Linked DNA regions of Saccharomyces cerevisiae S288C. The gene in region 3 interacts genetically with the main gene of each other region. Each region holds a gene or a part of one and is shown on either strand. Other genes may lie near its edges.

Region 1 (5,800 bases), on a different chromosome or scaffold from region 3:
TTCTAAGAGGGAAGTAGATGATTTGGTTGAAAATTTGGATGTCTCTCAGTGGAAGTTTATCTCTAAAGCAATTCAAAACTTATATCCAAATGATATCGCCCAGAGGAATGAAATGTTGATTAAATTGGGAGACAGGTTAAAGGAAAATGGTCATAGACAAGATTCTTTGACTTTGTACTTGGCTGCCGGATCATTAGATAAGGTGGCTTCAATTTGGTTATCAGAATTTCCAGATTTGGAGGATAAATTGAAGAAAGATAATAAGACAATTTATGAAGCTCATTCCGAATGTCTAACTGAGTTCATTGAAAGATTCACCGTATTTTCCAACTTCATTAATGGAAGCTCTACCATTAATAATGAGCAATTAATTGCCAAATTTTTGGAATTTATCAACTTAACTACTTCCACAGGAAATTTCGAACTAGCCACTGAATTCTTAAATAGTTTACCAAGTGACAATGAAGAGGTTAAAACAGAAAAGGCACGTGTCTTGATTGCTTCCGGCAAATCATTACCGGCACAAAATCCTGCGACAGCGACGACCAGCAAAGCCAAGTATACAAACGCCAAGACAAATAAGAACGTTCCTGTACTACCAACTCCTGGAATGCCTTCTACTACTTCTATTCCTAGTATGCAGGCACCATTTTATGGTATGACACCAGGCGCCTCTGCAAATGCTCTACCTCCAAAGCCGTACGTTCCAGCAACCACCACTAGTGCTCCTGTTCATACAGAAGGTAAATATGCGCCACCAAGCCAACCTTCGATGGCGTCACCTTTTGTTAACAAAACAAATAGCTCGACCAGATTGAATTCTTTTGCTCCTCCGCCTAACCCATATGCCACTGCAACAGTTCCTGCAACGAACGTATCTACAACGTCGATTCCGCAAAACACTTTTGCTCCTATACAACCTGGTATGCCTATTATGGGCGACTATAATGCTCAATCTAGCTCTATTCCTTCACAACCTCCAATTAATGCTGTATCGGGTCAAACGCCACATCTCAACCGTAAAGCCAATGATGGTTGGAATGATTTGCCTTTGAAGGTCAAAGAAAAACCATCTCGTGCCAAGGCTGTATCTGTTGCCCCTCCAAATATCCTATCGACACCAACTCCATTAAATGGTATCCCTGCAAATGCTGCTAGTACCATGCCTCCGCCACCTCTTTCCAGAGCTCCCTCTTCTGTGTCAATGGTATCACCACCTCCTCTACACAAAAATTCTAGAGTCCCATCCTTGGTTGCAACTTCTGAGTCACCAAGGGCATCCATATCAAATCCATACGCTCCTCCTCAATCATCACAACAATTCCCAATAGGTACTATTTCTACAGCAAACCAAACGTCAAACACCGCTCAGGTAGCTTCATCGAACCCCTATGCTCCACCACCACAACAAAGAGTAGCAACCCCATTATCTGGAGGCGTGCCTCCAGCTCCGTTGCCAAAGGCCTCTAATCCATATGCTCCAACTGCAACCACTCAACCCAACGGTTCCTCCTATCCTCCAACCGGTCCGTATACTAATAACCATACCATGACCTCTCCTCCTCCCGTTTTTAACAAACCTCCCACTGGCCCCCCTCCGATTAGCATGAAGAAGAGAAGCAACAAGTTAGCTAGTATAGAACAAAACCCATCTCAAGGTGCTACTTATCCTCCAACCCTTTCCAGCTCGGCCTCTCCATTGCAGCCTTCTCAACCGCCAACTTTGGCTTCTCAGGTTAATACCTCCGCTGAGAATGTCAGTCATGAAATTCCAGCTGATCAACAACCCATTGTCGACTTCTTGAAAGAAGAACTGGCTCGCGTAACACCATTGACCCCAAAGGAGTACTCCAAACAATTAAAGGATTGTGATAAACGATTAAAGATTCTTTTCTACCATTTGGAAAAGCAGGATTTATTAACCCAACCAACAATCGATTGTTTACATGACCTCGTCGCATTAATGAAGGAAAAGAAATACAAAGAAGCTATGGTCATCCATGCTAATATCGCTACAAACCATGCTCAAGAGGGTGGTAACTGGCTGACAGGAGTGAAGAGGTTGATTGGCATAGCTGAAGCGACTTTGAATTAATTCAGTCTCAAAACTTTCAGTACAAAAAGTGGCGTATTGGCCTTGTTTTTTTCTTATTATGTCTTATAGTATTATATTTATATATTTATGTACTTATCCTTTTATGTTTAAACCTAATCAAGATCACAATTAGAACTAGCTTAACATTACTTCTCAAAACCAACCAATACCTCTTATATCTTTTTTACAGCCTTTCCCTTATGTTTTTACCATGTACACCTCGAGCGGCAAATCTCCGGGGAAATTTTAAACTTGCCGCATCGCACATTCTAAAGAACAAAAGGAGGAGGAACTGTCAATTATTCTATAATCTGGGGAAATTCAGTCATACTGAGAAAAACTAGACAATAGTCCTATCCTCGGCAAATTGCATTGATAGTACTTACACATCGAGAGATCATAGGACAGATAAGAAGCATTTTATTGAAGAAAAACAGAGAGAGTCACTATAAGTTGACCTCACTATAGAAATTAAAACAGAAAAGTTTTACTGAGGACCTTTTTAAACAGAAGGATATGCCTTTGTTGGCATAGAAAGAAGAATTTATAAATGGATCCTAATAGTAACAGTTCTAGCGAAACATTACGCCAAGAGAAACAGGGTTTCCTAGACAAAGCTCTTCAGAGGGTGAAGGGCATAGCACTGCGACGAAACAATAGTAACAAAGATCATACAACAGATGATACGACAGGTAGCATACGAACCCCTACGAGCTTGCAGCGGCAAAATTCTGACAGGCAATCTAATATGACATCCGTGTTTACGGATGACATTTCTACCATAGACGACAACTCAATTTTATTTTCAGAGCCTCCTCAGAAACAATCTATGATGATGTCTATATGCGTAGGTGTTTTTGTTGCAGTTGGCGGATTTTTATTTGGTTATGATACAGGTCTGATCAACAGTATTACATCTATGAACTATGTGAAGTCACACGTAGCACCTAATCACGATTCATTTACCGCCCAACAAATGTCCATTTTGGTGTCATTTTTGTCATTGGGAACTTTTTTTGGGGCTTTAACTGCACCATTTATATCTGATTCGTATGGCAGGAAGCCTACTATCATTTTCAGTACAATTTTCATCTTCTCTATCGGAAATTCTTTACAGGTAGGTGCTGGAGGAATCACATTATTGATTGTGGGAAGGGTCATTTCAGGTATCGGTATAGGCGCAATTTCAGCGGTTGTTCCATTATACCAAGCAGAAGCTACACATAAATCATTAAGAGGTGCTATTATTTCTACTTACCAATGGGCCATTACCTGGGGCTTGCTCGTGTCAAGTGCAGTGTCGCAAGGGACACACGCAAGAAACGACGCATCTTCGTATCGGATTCCCATAGGGTTGCAATATGTCTGGTCGTCATTTCTCGCTATCGGGATGTTCTTTCTCCCTGAGAGTCCACGCTATTACGTTTTGAAAGACAAGCTAGATGAAGCAGCTAAATCTTTATCGTTTTTAAGAGGTGTACCAGTCCATGATTCTGGGTTACTGGAAGAACTAGTTGAAATAAAGGCAACATATGATTACGAGGCATCTTTTGGTTCTTCGAACTTCATTGATTGTTTTATTTCAAGTAAAAGTAGACCAAAGCAAACTCTAAGGATGTTTACGGGAATTGCCCTTCAAGCATTTCAACAATTTTCAGGTATCAACTTTATATTTTACTACGGTGTCAATTTCTTCAATAAGACAGGAGTCAGTAATAGTTATCTGGTTTCATTTATAACCTATGCTGTTAATGTTGTCTTTAATGTTCCTGGTTTGTTTTTTGTGGAATTTTTTGGTAGACGTAAGGTGCTGGTTGTTGGGGGTGTTATCATGACTATAGCCAACTTTATTGTGGCCATTGTTGGGTGTTCCTTAAAGACTGTAGCGGCCGCAAAAGTTATGATAGCATTTATATGTCTATTCATAGCTGCCTTTTCTGCTACATGGGGTGGTGTTGTTTGGGTTATTTCAGCAGAACTGTACCCATTGGGTGTGAGATCTAAATGTACGGCTATATGCGCTGCTGCTAACTGGCTTGTAAACTTTATTTGTGCTTTAATTACCCCTTATATTGTAGATACTGGGTCGCATACATCATCATTAGGTGCAAAAATATTCTTCATTTGGGGCTCCTTAAATGCGATGGGGGTGATAGTTGTTTACTTGACCGTTTATGAAACGAAGGGTTTGACATTAGAAGAGATTGATGAATTATATATTAAGTCATCCACTGGTGTCGTGTCACCAAAATTTAATAAAGATATTAGGGAACGCGCACTTAAATTCCAATACGATCCTTTGCAAAGATTAGAAGACGGAAAGAACACTTTTGTTGCTAAAAGAAATAATTTTGACGATGAAACACCAAGAAATGATTTTCGAAATACGATATCGGGCGAAATAGATCATAGTCCCAATCAAAAAGAAGTTCATTCTATCCCAGAACGTGTTGATATTCCTACTAGTACAGAAATTCTTGAAAGCCCGAACAAAAGTAGTGGTATGACAGTCCCTGTGTCACCTTCTCTGCAAGACGTTCCAATCCCGCAAACAACAGAGCCTGCTGAAATTCGAACCAAATATGTGGACCTAGGAAATGGGCTTGGTCTTAATACGTATAATAGAGGGCCTCCCTCACTCTCAAGCGACTCAAGCGAAGATTACACAGAAGATGAAATAGGCGGGCCCTCATCTCAAGGCGACCAAAGTAATAGAAGTACTATGAATGATATTAATGATTATATGGCACGTCTCATTCACAGTACTTCTACTGCAAGTAACACGACAGATAAGTTCTCCGGTAACCAAAGTACCCTTCGTTACCACACGGCTTCCTCACATTCGGATACAACTGAAGAGGACAGCAATTTGATGGACCTGGGAAACGGGCTTGCCTTGAATGCTTATAACAGAGGTCCACCTTCAATTTTAATGAATTCCAGTGATGAAGAGGCAAATGGTGGTGAGACGTCTGATAATTTGAACACAGCTCAAGACTTGGCTGGTATGAAGGAACGAATGGCGCAGTTTGCGCAGAGCTATATTGACAAGAGAGGCGGTCTGGAACCTGAAACTCAATCTAATATTTTGAGCACTTCTCTCTCCGTGATGGCTGACACTAATGAACATAATAATGAAATCCTCCACTCAAGCGAAGAAAACGCCACTAATCAACCTGTAAATGAAAATAATGATTTGAAATAATTAATTTAATGTTATTCGATGTATTAATTAAGCGGACGTGCATTATAATTTTAATCATGTGAAAGAAATAATTGTAACTTGAGATACTACTCAACTTTTATAGATACACAATGTTTATCTTGACACACATTCAATTACATTACTTGATTTAATGCCTTTCCAAAATTATGATCTTTTCTTCTATAACACTTTTGGATACTTAGCCGCCGACGGATACCATCTTCGGTCAACGTCGGAAGTCATTATAAACGAAAAGGTTTCCCAATAGAAAAGTCCTGCAGGAGCCACGTATAACACTGGCTTGAATTATCAACAACTCTCGAAGGCGCTGGAAGAGAATTTTTACGCAAGTTAGTATTCGCATAACATTAGTTGGCAAATTACACAATTTTTTGATACAATATATATACATATATTTTCCCCATTGTTTTTCTTAGATGCCCACGATGATCAAAAAGGATGATAAAGCAATGGAGCCCCCTAATGAAAAACCGCATAGA
Region 2 (4,493 bases), on a different chromosome or scaffold from region 3:
TTGATGAAACAACTTTCAACGTAGACATTTTTACCTTACAATGATTTCTCTTTAATACCTGAGATTGGTGTGTTGAAATGAAAATATGTGTTGGCCCAGCAACAGACAATAATATAAGCAAGGATCCTGGTCGTTTGATATTCTTCTTGAGTTTTTTTCTTATATATGAACGTATGTGTATATATTCACCATCCCTATTGTCTCCACCCCTTGTTCGCTCGTAGCGACGGAAACAATCAAATAAGAGGACCCACGGTAAAAGTAGCGTAAATTTTACGGTTCTGCTGCAAAATAAAGAAACCCATTTTGTATCCTTTACATCAGGAATAACGTAAAAAGAATTATCATTAGTTCGTAGTTATATAATAACGTCTGTTCATTATAAAAGAGTACAAGAAACAGTAAGATAGTAAACGTCACTGTTAAATAGTTAATTATACCGCCAATCTACACCAGAAAATTAAAAGAGAAAGCAATATATGTTAAACATTATTATCGTGTCATCTTTGTAAATCCCTTAACATACTTCTAACACAACCCATGTCTTCAATTAACATTTTCCTTAACCACTGCGTCTCTTGGCGCTGTAATTCCAATTCTCTTTCTAATTGCACAATTCTTTGGCCTTTTTCAGAAATGATTGCGTCATAAGCTTCTTTCAATGGGCGTATCACGGCTTCTGTATCTATAGGTCCCATGCTGTTTGAAGGATTTAAATCAACTTTCATTTGGGTGTTATTCGCGTTTAAATTAGTGTCCGGACCATCATTTATTAACGCACCCTCTGCTGCAGTTGTCATCGGCCTCTGCCTCTTACTCGTATTTGTCAGTTGCAAAAGTTCTTCCACCGCTTCGTCATCCAGCGTATTAACATCTAACGATCCCAGTGACCTTCGTTTCCACGAATGGGATCCATTATTGGACATTGTATTATAGCCCATGGTATTACTGGAAGCATTGGGGTTCAGATCTGCATGACTCAAACCAAATTCAAATCCTCCTGAGCCAGGACTGGTTGGCTGTGTATAATATCCTGTCAACGAACGAGAATTGACATCTTGTGATAGCGTTTGCAGTCGTTTTTGTAACTGTTGAGACAATGATGGATCAAAAAGCATATTGGTACCTGGGTTGCTTATTGTTGTATTACTGAATGCACTCGTATCTGTAATGCCGTTTCTCTCTTTATTACTATTTTTATTGTTTTTCCCATTTTTAGCATTTTTAGCCACCCTGGTGCCTCTTTTTTTCGTTCGGTTGTTTGGCATGTTTTTATTTCCATAGTTCTTAATATTACTCCCATTTCCAATATTACCATTGTTCCCATTATTGTTCCCGTTGTTTATTCCCTGTAAATCTGATGGGGAGCCTTTAGTTGATGTATTTAAGGAGTTTCCCTTCCTGCGTCCTTGAGTTAGAATTTGGCCGGTCTGAGGATCGAATACTGTAAATATGCTCATTGAGACTAATCGCCACAATTCATCGTTTTCTAATTCTGAGTCTGTCTTTATTTGCCAAAGCCTTCCATCCAACCGGCGGAAGTATTTTGCGTAAGGACTTGCGTCAAAACTCAGCTCTAGTTCCTTAATCATCTGTTGAAATCTTTGATATAGTTCGATTGCCGATTTTGGTGATGTTGATCTATCGTCAATTGACCCAGATGATAGTGTAGCGTTATATAGTTTTGATATTTTGGCGAAAAGTTGAGAATATTGCGCTTGCGTATATATTCCATTTGAGGTGGCACTAGAGCTCGCATTATTACCAGTAGTGGCAGGATTGCTTGCATTGCTAATGGCTGAGGTAGAACTTGAATTACCATTCGGCGTACCATTAGCGCTATCTGAGTTGGTTTTCGTCAGAGCATTACTACCAGTGCTAGTTATAATCTCATCGATGTTAGGTGTGCTATCAGACCCCATCAACCCTGTTGGATTAGCTATCCCTGTTCCAACCGCCCCGTTAACCATACCTGAGGGCGTGTTCGTTGTCGTCTGTGGCGAGTTTGTAACACTCTGCAAGGAAGCACCACTAATGACAGACTCGTTAGACAGTAAATTATAAGCTCTGATTATGAATACATCTAACTTAGTTTGGTGATGCATTATGTGAGTGTAACTTTTCGTCAAATACTCTTTGTGTTCTCAGGTTCCTTTTTGGTTTCTTGGTTGTTTTCCCATTCAGTCTAGGCGTAAGAATGTGAAGAAAGTCAAATACAGACCGCAAGCACCTTATGGATGCGTTAATGATTATTATGTCTAACGGACAACTATCGCAGAAGTCGCGGTACTTGAAGGAGAAAAGTCGTGAAAATTTTATTTTGGACAAATTGTCCAAGAAAAATAAGAAATATGACGTTATTACCCGTATTGAGATTCCATTGAAAGACATTCATAAAATTGATCAGTTCGGTCATAAACAAAGTAGAACTTCGAAATATCAAATATGTTCTTGCCACTGGTAGCCCATATTTTTTTAATCTGCTCTTGTAGCATAGGGTTGAAAATATTACATTGAAGTCGATACCGATATATACTTCTATAAAAATGAGTTCTGGAATAAAAGTAAGGCTAATACATATATATAGTGGGAGAATATCCAAAGGCAGAGTTTTTTAAACAAGGAAAGAATAAAAGTTGGCAGCATAAAAAAAAGATATTCTCTCTTCAAAACATTTGTCGGATATGACCTCACCTAAGCACTTGGTGCTTTGATGACAATAATCACACTAAAGAGCGATATTCGATAGTGAGACTTTTCCCTCTCAATCTTATTCACATTAGCGCAAGCAAAATGGAATGAATGGCACATTAAAATTGAAAATAAAAGTTCTTGTTGTTGCAGAAGCGGTATAGGAGTTCGCAAAATGGTAGTTAAGAAAAAAGATGGCGGGTTTAATTCATAGTACAATTCAAATGTTAGACAGAAAAAGAAAAAATTTCTGTTATATGCACGTTGTAATGTAATAGTAAAAAGATAATTTAACGTAATTGAAGAGATAAAGTATTATCGATGTTATTCTTATTATTAGTCGGTTTAGAAAATATTATTATAACAAATAATAAAAGAAAAAGAAAAAATGCGACAGAAAATATTATTCTTATTATAGTGGGGGAAAGATGAAAAGCAATGCATATAATGTGATACATGCAAGGAAATCAGGTTTTTGCGGAACCATTTTTTTAGTTTTTTATATGACCAACATTAGAATTGTAACTGGAAAGCATATTTACATTAGGATTTGGGTTACCACTGCCTCCTCTTCTGCTGTTTGGGCCCCTAACACCCAGTGGGTTTTTTGAAAAGCTTAATCTGATACCTCCCTTACTGCTCACAGTGGAGCGAGGTAACTGTCTACCATACAATTCAGCTAACGCTCTGGTTGCAAAACTGACATCATCGAATTCAACGAAGCACATCGGTCCGTGACTATGACCATTAGATGTGGTATTCTTATTCCTGAATGATAGTCTTCTGAAGCCTTCTTGACCAGAAAATAGCTGTCTTAGTTCTTGCTCAGTAGCGTCGGAGGGTAAATTCCCTACATAAAGGGTATTACAAGGTGGATTTTGATCAGCAGGGTTGGCAGGAGGTGGAATTCTGGCTAGTAGTGACAAATCAGCCTGAGAAATCGAGGCAGATCCAGTAATATTTGAGGATAATGAGGTAGTAGAGTTATTCTTGTGTGAATTTCTACTTGAACTTAATCTTGCGGGCGGTACTTTTTGAGGAGTGTTACTTTGATTCACAGGATACATATGCTCTGGTTGGGGTTGTTGCATAAATCTGTTCTGTTTTTGAGGTGTAATGTTCATATCAGAGGTGTTTACCATATTTGAAATGTGCTGCGATTGAGAAGACATTAAACCGTATGGAGGCAATGAATTTGAAGAGGTTAGGGAAGTGTTAATCGTGTTACCAATTTGCATCATTGGTTGTTGCGAGCTGGCAGAGAGTGCCTGGTTAGCACCATTATTGCTGGCTCCATTGTTGGAGCTGGCGTTTGCATTGGCACTGGTGTTGCTATTCGTAGGTGCAATGGCTGTCGATGCTGCAGAGGGTAAAAAGAACGAAGAACCATGTTGGGATGCAGAAGTATTTCCCCATTCTAAAGTTGGCGTAGAAGGTTGGGGAGTGCTCATGTAACCGTTGATGCTGGAAGGTATACCGCTTGTGCCCCATATCTTTTCATTAATTTCAGTGTTATCTCTCAAAAGGAAAGATTTGCCAATATCAGATGTTTGAATTGTTGATTCCACAGACAAATCTTGATGTGAATGGTTAGAATGTAACCCAATAACCTGGCCTTGAGAAGATAACGGTATTGAAGAATTCACTTGTTGTTGATTACATTGTTGTGGTGAATGTTTTTGCGTAGAGTGTTGTTGTGGCTGTTGTGGCTGTTGCTGCTGCTGTTGAGATTGCTGTTGGCTTAAAGGAGAATCATTGGAAAATGGATCGCTGAATGAAAACCTGGATCTTTGTGATAACAG
Region 3 (4,927 bases):
TCGTTTTGCCAAGAACTAAATACGATATCACCATTGATGAAGAATCTCCAAGACCAGGCCAACAAACCTTTGAAAAAATGTCTTCTGGTTACTACTTAGGTGAAATTTTGCGTTTGGCCTTGATGGACATGTACAAACAAGGTTTCATCTTCAAGAACCAAGACTTGTCTAAGTTCGACAAGCCTTTCGTCATGGACACTTCTTACCCAGCCAGAATCGAGGAAGATCCATTCGAGAACCTAGAAGATACCGATGACTTGTTCCAAAATGAGTTCGGTATCAACACTACTGTTCAAGAACGTAAATTGATCAGACGTTTATCTGAATTGATTGGTGCTAGAGCTGCTAGATTGTCCGTTTGTGGTATTGCTGCTATCTGTCAAAAGAGAGGTTACAAGACCGGTCACATCGCTGCAGACGGTTCCGTTTACAACAGATACCCAGGTTTCAAAGAAAAGGCTGCCAATGCTTTGAAGGACATTTACGGCTGGACTCAAACCTCACTAGACGACTACCCAATCAAGATTGTTCCTGCTGAAGATGGTTCCGGTGCTGGTGCCGCTGTTATTGCTGCTTTGGCCCAAAAAAGAATTGCTGAAGGTAAGTCCGTTGGTATCATCGGTGCTTAAACTTAATTTGTAAATTAAGTTTGAACAACAAGAAGGTGCCCTTTTTCTACTTATGTGAACATGTTTTCTATGATCTTTTTTTTTCTTACTTTTACAACTGTGATATTGTATAAACTTTGTTAGAAATTCACGGGATTTATTCGTGACGATAAATATTTATATAGACAAAGAATATGACGATTTATGAAATCTACATGATTTTAGTTTCTTTTAACAATTGCTCGTTTTTTTCTCTTGCTTAATTTTAAATTTTTTTGGTAGTAAAAGATGCTTATATAAGGATTTCGTATTTATTGTTCAAGTATTTAAAGACTAGATGTCTTTATTCTTCATAAAATTGCACGCCAATTTTAACCCTCTCTACACTTCCTCTAGATAGCTTGCGTACTTTCTTTTGTAGCGTGATAATTCTGGAACGAACGGAAGCACTTGTTTTAAGATCGTCCTTACTAATTCTCACAACCACTTCATACCCGCGATTTTTACGCGTGGATTCTTCTTTTACCTTTGTAGTGTTTGCATCATCAATGATTAATTCTTTTAAACTGGTCTCCACCTCACTACGCTTAGAAACATGGAAATCAAATACGTTATCTCTGATATTACCACCTGGATGAACACCGCAAATCACATACATAATCGTACCAATATACTTCGTCCACCATACAATTCTCAATGCTTCAGCTTTATCACCTTCGCGTAGAACTACTTGTTCTAATTCTTGGGAGTATTTTTCTTCAGATTCCGGAATGTTGCCGCCCCATCTACTACATAGAGCAATTCCTATCAGCGCTCTAGCTCTGTGAGATAATCCATGACAGCCGGCTATTATCCCTCTTGTAGCAACATGTAATGCAGCTGTTGGTTGTAACTCCTTTGGATAAGAGGCATGAACAAATGCTAAGTTACATAAAGCAGGAGCAATCCTTTCGTTTACTATTTCTGGTATATCTTCTTGTGGGATTGATGTTCTCAATAGATATAGATATTTTTCAGTAAGTAATGGAGCATAAGGACGGGACGCAATTAGCAATGGATCTTGTGCACGAATTTCTTTTGGAAGAAGAGAATAAAGTGAACCCTCTCGAACACCACCCTCACTAAAATGTACAGCTTTGATCTGGGGAATCGCTTCAAAAACAGCACTCATGAACAAACCAACGGCAGGAAGTTGTAAAGCCCTTCTATCAGAAACCTTAAATATTTTATGCTCTTTTGAAGAACCTGGTATTTTTTGTTTTAGGAATAGATAATCTGACATAGACGAGAATTCTTCATAAGTGCAAGCATATCCGTTAATTATTGTTTGGATGGGATAACCTTCCGACTGGTAAAGAAGCAGATGTCCCATACCTCTTAAACCACCCCCACGGGTCCAAAGGTCAAATCCACCTTCTTTCTTGGCGTCATCAATCATTTCTTGAGGTATACCAATTTTTTCAATCGCATCTTTGTACGCTTCTTTAATCTCATAAAAAAGTGCCCTATTATCATCTGTTCTCATTCTTCTCAAAAGAGTTCCAGCTCCATATGGCAAAGATACAGGTTTGCTGGATTGCTTGACTTCTCCGTGCGAGCTTATTACCCATGATAACTGAGTACTACCACCTGCCACATCTAGATATAGACCTCTTACTGTATTAAATGAGGAAACAACACCATATATGCCGACCCTAGTTTCATCTTCCTGGCCTAATATTTCTACTTTCCAGCCAGTGCTACCGTAAACAGCATTAACAAATTCATCCGCGTTAATAGCATCTCGCGTGGCTTCTGTTGCAATTACTCTGACACTAGTTTCAGGTACACCAAAATCATCGCAAATTAATTTGAATCTCTTCATGGCAGAACAAACCTCTTTTATAATATCTCTGGGAATAGGGCATTTTGCGTTCGTATGTGTATTATATTGAACTTCGTATAGAGAAAGACCAACCCTATCTTTAAAAACACAAGGCATAATTCTTGCATGATGTGCAGCCTTGGAAGATATACTAAAACGAATACCATTAGAACCTATGTCGACGATTCCACACAAGTTTCTCGACACGACCTCAGTCTCGGTATCACTATCGCTAAGTGTTGACATTTGTGGCACGCCTACACTTTTCGTTCAAAACAATCCTTAGTAAAGGACACTTCCAAGAGTGAGTTTCTTTTTTAAAAGGTACATATGAATGAATTACTAATCTCACTTCGATTCTTTCAATTGATCTAGGAACTCCGCCGGCAAAGTTATCCTATCTCGGCATTCTGACCCGGATCGCTTATCGCGGTCATGTGACTAATAATTGAAATGATAAATAGCACGATATGTAACAATAGTAATATATCAATTGACAATGTCATCTTGTTCCCTAATAAATAGTAAAGGTTCCAATTGTTTCACCACTGGCTGCATTTTAAAAACAAAGCATTATAAGTAAACTCTCACACATGCTAACTTCTGTTGGGAAGCAATACAAATAACAGAAAGGATTGGGGTAATGAATATCAGTAATGTCTATTGTTCCCGGCCATGCCGCTCATTCAAACTCTATATCGGAACCCAAGAAATCCAGATCACCATTCGGATCACTTATTGAGCTCGCCGCTGTATTACTAGAATAACTATCGGATGATTCAAGATCAATAGGAATTATTTCAGGGCAGTTTTCGGGGCCTGATTTTAGGACTTGTTCACCCGCTTCCATAGACGACATCTGTTGCGATAGATTATAAATTTTTGAAGGAAGTGTATGAACTGTCGCAATATCTGTATTTTCTTCTTGCCACTGCTTTGGTTTACTATTCAGTCTTTTTTCCAGGTGAGGGGTTGTGTTGATATTTTTTGCAAGCAGTGGCTGGCGTATTTGATCAGGTTTTGATACTGGCTTGATTGAGGAGGGTCCTTTTTCTTTTATATACTTTACTGGAATACCCTCTTTACAACATAAATGTCTGCATTGCGTTTTGTCTTTGCAGCTATGAAAACACTCGTAATTGCCATTAGATCTTACTTGGCGGCCATTACTAAAATGTGAAGAAGAGTGTGCCTCCGGGTGAATAACTGCTGCAGATTCAACCGCCTTTGATGATTTCTTCCTTTCATTCAAATAATCTAGTATACTATCATCTGAGGATAGCGATTCTTCTAATCCATCTTTATGGGAAACCCTAGACGTTTTCCCCACTTCTCCGTCACTACTGCTTTCATAGAAGAGGCATTTTTCTAAACTATTTAGATCTTTCCTTATATTTGGTGTCTTCGCAGAGAACTGTGATGCCAAATGATCAGTGGAATATACGATTGTTTTGCCGAGTCCGGCGATTTCTTGGCAATGAATTGAGAATTCTATTTTTTCTAGTTTTGGTGATATTTTTGCTGAAATTCTAAAGCCCCTTGGTGACTGTAGTTTGTTAACTTGCAATCTTCTAAAGTCGATTAACTCTCCTGAGCTTTTCTCGGTTTCGATATCTAATGAGAGGTGCTGACCATGCCAAATGCTAGACTTGAATGTTGCACTAATCTCAACTTTAAATGTCAACCACAACTCTTCATTTTCTATTTTGCAATTTTCTAGTTTTGTTCTAATATTCAGACAAGGCAACAAAGAAATGTCGTTTTTAATTTTTATGCCGTTTCCAATCTTGAGGTTAAGATAGTATTCAATCTGAGTATCTGACAAATGCCCCATTTCTTCTAGATTGGTAATTCCATGTCGTATTAGCCTTCTTACTGAAACTAGTCCAATTGTTTTCAATTGCCTAAGAACCATTGGCGTGTTTTCCCAGCAGTGACCATTCAGGCTTCGCAGTAAGAACAAAGTATTTTTCAGTGATGTTCCATCACTTTTTTCAATAAATGTGTCTACCATGCATTTTAGTAATCTAAAACAATGTCTAAAAACGAGGAATTTATCCTGAACAAGAGTTTGATGTAGTTTAGAAGCGCCTTCGTATGATGGAAATTCTAACCCACCTAACTCATATTGAATCAAAAGAGAAACCTTTTGACTAACCCTGTCAATTATTTGGCTCTGTTTCTTCTCGGTTAAAAATGGATATTTCAAAAGTGGCGATAAATTGATTTCTTTGAACAATTTTTTTTCATTGTGCCTCACCCTCATAACTGAAAACTCTTCAGAAGTGGCCAGTAAATTTAGTATCCCTTGTAATGATAGAAATTTTTTTGCGTTAATGAATTGTTTCATCGACTCAAAGGATATATAATGTCGCGTCATTGCATTTCCGTACGCTGTAGATTTGTACTCCCCATTGCTGATATCGATTATTTTCACTTTTACTAAGGTGTCAAG
Region 4 (3,766 bases), on a different chromosome or scaffold from region 3:
TTATGATCCAACTACCAATTATTCGTCCACCACAACGTTAAGGCGTCTATTAGAAAATCATGAAGAACTAAATCTGCTACGTAAAGGAGAGGATGAACCGTTATGCAAAGGTTTTCAGGAGCTGAAGATAACATTTCCACCGACATACAAATTCAAGTTGTTTGAAAAGGAAACATATAATACAAAAAGAATCCCGTCGTGGTGCGATAGGATTCTCTACAAAAGCTATGCAGTGCCAACTTTCGCACAAGAAGGTACTTACCATTCCGTCCCTAGGTCCAATGCTCTATTATTTAGCGATCATCAACCCGTTAATCTTACCGTAAGATTACCAAGGTCTACAGGGACGCCAGTGCCGTTATCCTTACATATCGAAAAGTATCCTTTATCATGGAGCTCTGGCCTGATTGGACAAATTGGTGACGCAGTCATCGGGTACTGCGGTTGGCTAGTTACTAAGAATGTACATTATTGGATATTAGGTTCTTTACTATTATATTTACTATTAAAAATCCTGTAAAGTGATCTGGGCTGTCAGGCTAGAAGTTTTTCATTTATGTCTGAAACAGATAACGTCAGTTGTACCACTATCTTTGGTTTTATTCTTTTTATTTTCTCTTCCATATATCTTTACAGAACTTAAGTAATAATGAAAAAGAATGAAAAAAAAAAAAAAAAAAGAAAAACTAGTCAAAATTATTGCCATGAAAAAACAGGAAGAAGAGAGAGAAGAACATTAAAAAAAAAACTATCAATATTAGATTAACAAACCAATCAAAATGGAGGACTCTAATAATGAAGCCAGCGATGACTTCAACAACTTATTAAACAAAGAAATTGAGTCTGCAAAGGAAGTGAAGTTAAGAAAATTCGCGAACAGGAATAATAATAGGAACGAAAACAGTTCCAAAGTCAAAGATGCGAGTGGATTCAGACTGAGAGTTATTCAAACCGATGGGCACAAAACTAAAAAGACAGACCCTGATTATGAAGTGACAATTGATGGACCCTTAAGGAAGATTGAGCCTTATTTTTTCACTTATAAAACTTTCTGTAAGGAGAGGTGGAGAGATCGTAAGTTGGTGGATGTATTCGTGAGCGAATTCAGGGATCGAGAGCCCAGCTATTATTCCAAAACCATTGCAGAGGGAAAAGTATACTTAAACGATGAACCTGCAAACCTTGATACCATCATTCGTGACGGTGATCTGATCACACATAAAGTACATCGACATGAACCGCCAGTCACATCTAAACCAATAGATATTGTGTTTGAAGACGAAGATATCCTTGTCATTGATAAACCCAGCAGTATTCCAGTGCACCCAACGGGCAGATACAGATTCAATACCATTACAAAAATGCTAGAAAGACAGCTAGGTTATTCAGTACATCCATGTAATAGACTAGACAAGCCAACTAGTGGACTAATGTTTTTAGCCAAGACTCCATTAGGTGCAGATAGAATGGGAGACCAAATGAAAGCGAGGGAAGTCACCAAAGAATACGTAGCCCGCGTGAAGGGCGAGTTCCCTATAGGTATAGTAGAGGTAGATAAGCCTGTCAGATCTGTTAACCCTAAAGTTGCACTAAACGCTGTTTGCGAGATGAGCGATGAAAACGCTAAACATGCCAAGACCGTTTTCCAAAGGGTTAGCTATGATGGACAGACGAGTATTGTAAAGTGTAAACCATTGACAGGTAGAACTCACCAAATAAGAGTCCATTTGCAGTACTTGGGATTTCCCATAGCAAATGACCCTATATACTCGAACCCAGATATCTGGGGTCCAGATTTGGGCCGCGGTGGACTTCAAAACTATGATGACATCGTTCTGAAACTAGACGCTATTGGCAAGACTAATCCTGCAGAGAGCTGGATTCATCCTCATAGCGAGGGTGAATACTTGCTTGGCCGTCAGTGCGAAGAATGCGAGGCTGAAATGTACACAGATCCCGGTACTAATGATCTCGACCTCTGGCTGCATGCCTTCCGGTACGAGTCATTGGAAAGAAATTCGGATACGCAAAAACCTCTCTGGAGTTATAGAACAAAATACCCTGAATGGGCCTTAGAGCCACATCGCCGATATATGGAAATGGCCGTTAAGGAAGCTGGTAAGTGTGGCCCGACAAAGACTGCTTTTAGTGTTGGTGCCGTTCTTGTTCATGGAACTCAAGTACTTGCCACAGGATATTCAAGAGAGCTACCAGGAAACACTCATGCAGAACAGTGTGCTTTGATAAAGTACTCGCAGTTACACCCGAACTGTCCCACTATAGTCCCTATGGGAACAGTGCTCTATACAACCATGGAACCCTGTTCCTTCAGGCTAAGTGGCAATGAGCCTTGCTGCGATAGAATCCTGGCCACCCAAGGTGCCATTGGTACTGTCTTCGTGGGGGTTATGGAGCCCGATACATTTGTTAAAAACAATACAAGTTTGAACAAGCTGGAATCGCACGGTGTGAACTACATACAAATACCAGGCTACGAGGAGGAGTGCACCATCATTGCCTTCAAAGGCCACGATAATAGTGACGACAAAGCTTAGACTATTTAGCATATATATTATCATGTAATCTTACATCATATCTACAATAACCACTCATTACTGGAAACGGAAAAAGGCGCCACCGAAAATTTTGAGTAAAAAGAATGGAATTAACTTCAACCACAACACAGACAAAAAACACTAGATAGTGAACCAAAAGAAAGCACAACACCAAACATGAGCAGCATTCCAGCTGGCACTGATCCTGGGTCCTGCGGTGCTAATTTCAAGAATGACCGCAAGCGCAGAGATAAGATCAACGACCGTATTCAAGAACTATTGAGTATCATTCCCAAAGACTTCTTTAGAGATTATTACGGCAATTCTGGTAGCAATGACACGTTAAGTGAATCCACTCCCGGTGCGCTTGGGTTGTCCAGCAAGGCCAAAGGTACAGGGACCAAGGACGGAAAGCCCAACAAGGGCCAAATTCTCACACAGGCGGTAGAGTACATATCACATCTACAAAATCAAGTGGACACACAGAACAGAGAGGAGGTGGAACTGATGGTGAAGGCCACTCAGTTGGCCAAGCAGACAGGCACCATTGTCAACGATATAAACTTAGAGAACACCAGCGCTGAAGTCGCCCTGTCCAGGATTGGCGTGGGACCGCTGGCCGCAACAAATGATGACTCAGTAAGACCGCCAGCAAAGAGGTTGAGCTCCTTCGAGTACGGAGGGTATGGTGAGTACGGTAATGGTAGCTAAAAGTACTTCTGACTCTCACTATTGCTATGTTGTGATAACCCTCGTTGGTAGTGATACGAACACTTCTCTTCTTTTTTGTTGTTTTTGTGAGAAAAAAAAATCTAAATGAACATATTGCTAATGCAACGGATAGTTAGTTTTATTTTGGTGGTTAGTCAAGGGCGATACTTTCATGTTGGAGAGCTGACCATGACAATGTTGAAAAGACCTCAAGAAGAAGAGTCAGATAATAATGCTACGAAGAAGCTGAAAACGAGATTAACGTACCCTTGTATCCTCGGGAAGGATAAGGTGACGGGCAAATTCATCTTTCCTGCAATCACTAAAGATGATGTTATGAATGCAAGACTGTTTTTGAAGGACAACGATTTGAAAACTTTTTTAGAATATTTTTTGCCAGTGGAAGTCAACTCGATCTACATTTATTTCATGATAAAATTGCTGGGATTCGACGTCAAAGATAAAGAACTATTTATGGCGTTAAACTCTAATATCACTTC

Evidence for each region.
Region 1: mutations in RTG2 (region 3) and SNF3 together harm fitness more than expected from each alone (negative genetic interaction), as found in Saccharomyces cerevisiae (3 studies listed by BioGRID, with this or other methods).
Region 2: mutations in RTG2 (region 3) and GCR2 together harm fitness more than expected from each alone (negative genetic interaction), as found in Saccharomyces cerevisiae (3 studies listed by BioGRID).
Region 4: mutations in RTG2 (region 3) and RTG1 together harm fitness less than expected from each alone (positive genetic interaction), as found in Saccharomyces cerevisiae (4 studies listed by BioGRID, with this or other methods).

What each region holds. Positions count from the first base shown.
Region 1 is NC_001136.10:108,935-114,734, forward strand, and holds SNF3 (glucose sensor), read left to right. Parts: upstream 1-2,645; coding exon 2,646-5,300; downstream 5,301-5,800. Other genes in the region: SEC31 (Sec31p), read left to right, coding at 1-2,095; NUS1 (ditrans,polycis-polyprenyl diphosphate synthase), read left to right, coding at 5,738-5,800.
Region 2 is NC_001146.8:264,426-268,918, forward strand, and holds GCR2 (Gcr2p), read right to left. Parts: upstream 2,106-4,493; coding exon 501-2,105; downstream 1-500. Other genes in the region: NNR1 (NADHX epimerase), read right to left, coding at 1-28; mRNA-binding protein WHI3, read right to left, coding at 3,183-4,493. UniProt on the Saccharomyces cerevisiae protein: Transcriptional activator required for the expression of glycolytic genes. Enhances the CT box-dependent transcriptional activation of a RAP1-GCR1 complex. Required for GCR1 phosphorylation.
Region 3 is NC_001139.9:24,767-29,693, forward strand, and holds RTG2 (Rtg2p), read right to left. Parts: upstream 2,719-4,927; coding exon 952-2,718; downstream 1-951. Other genes in the region: HXK2 (hexokinase 2), read left to right, coding at 1-629; HFM1 (DNA helicase), read right to left, coding at 3,155-4,927. UniProt on the Saccharomyces cerevisiae protein: Required for a novel path of interorganelle communication between mitochondria, peroxisomes and the nucleus, thereby maintaining a functional metabolic interaction between the tricarboxylic acid and glyoxylate cycles.
Region 4 is NC_001147.6:201,485-205,250, reverse strand, and holds RTG1 (Rtg1p), read left to right. Parts: upstream 1-2,732; coding exon 2,733-3,266; downstream 3,267-3,766. Other genes in the region: phosphoinositide 5-phosphatase INP54, read left to right, coding at 1-520; bifunctional DRAP deaminase/tRNA pseudouridine synthase RIB2, read left to right, coding at 780-2,555; histone deacetylase HST1, read left to right, coding at 3,372-3,766. UniProt on the Saccharomyces cerevisiae protein: Required for a novel path of interorganelle communication between mitochondria, peroxisomes and the nucleus, thereby maintaining a functional metabolic interaction between the tricarboxylic acid and glyoxylate cycles.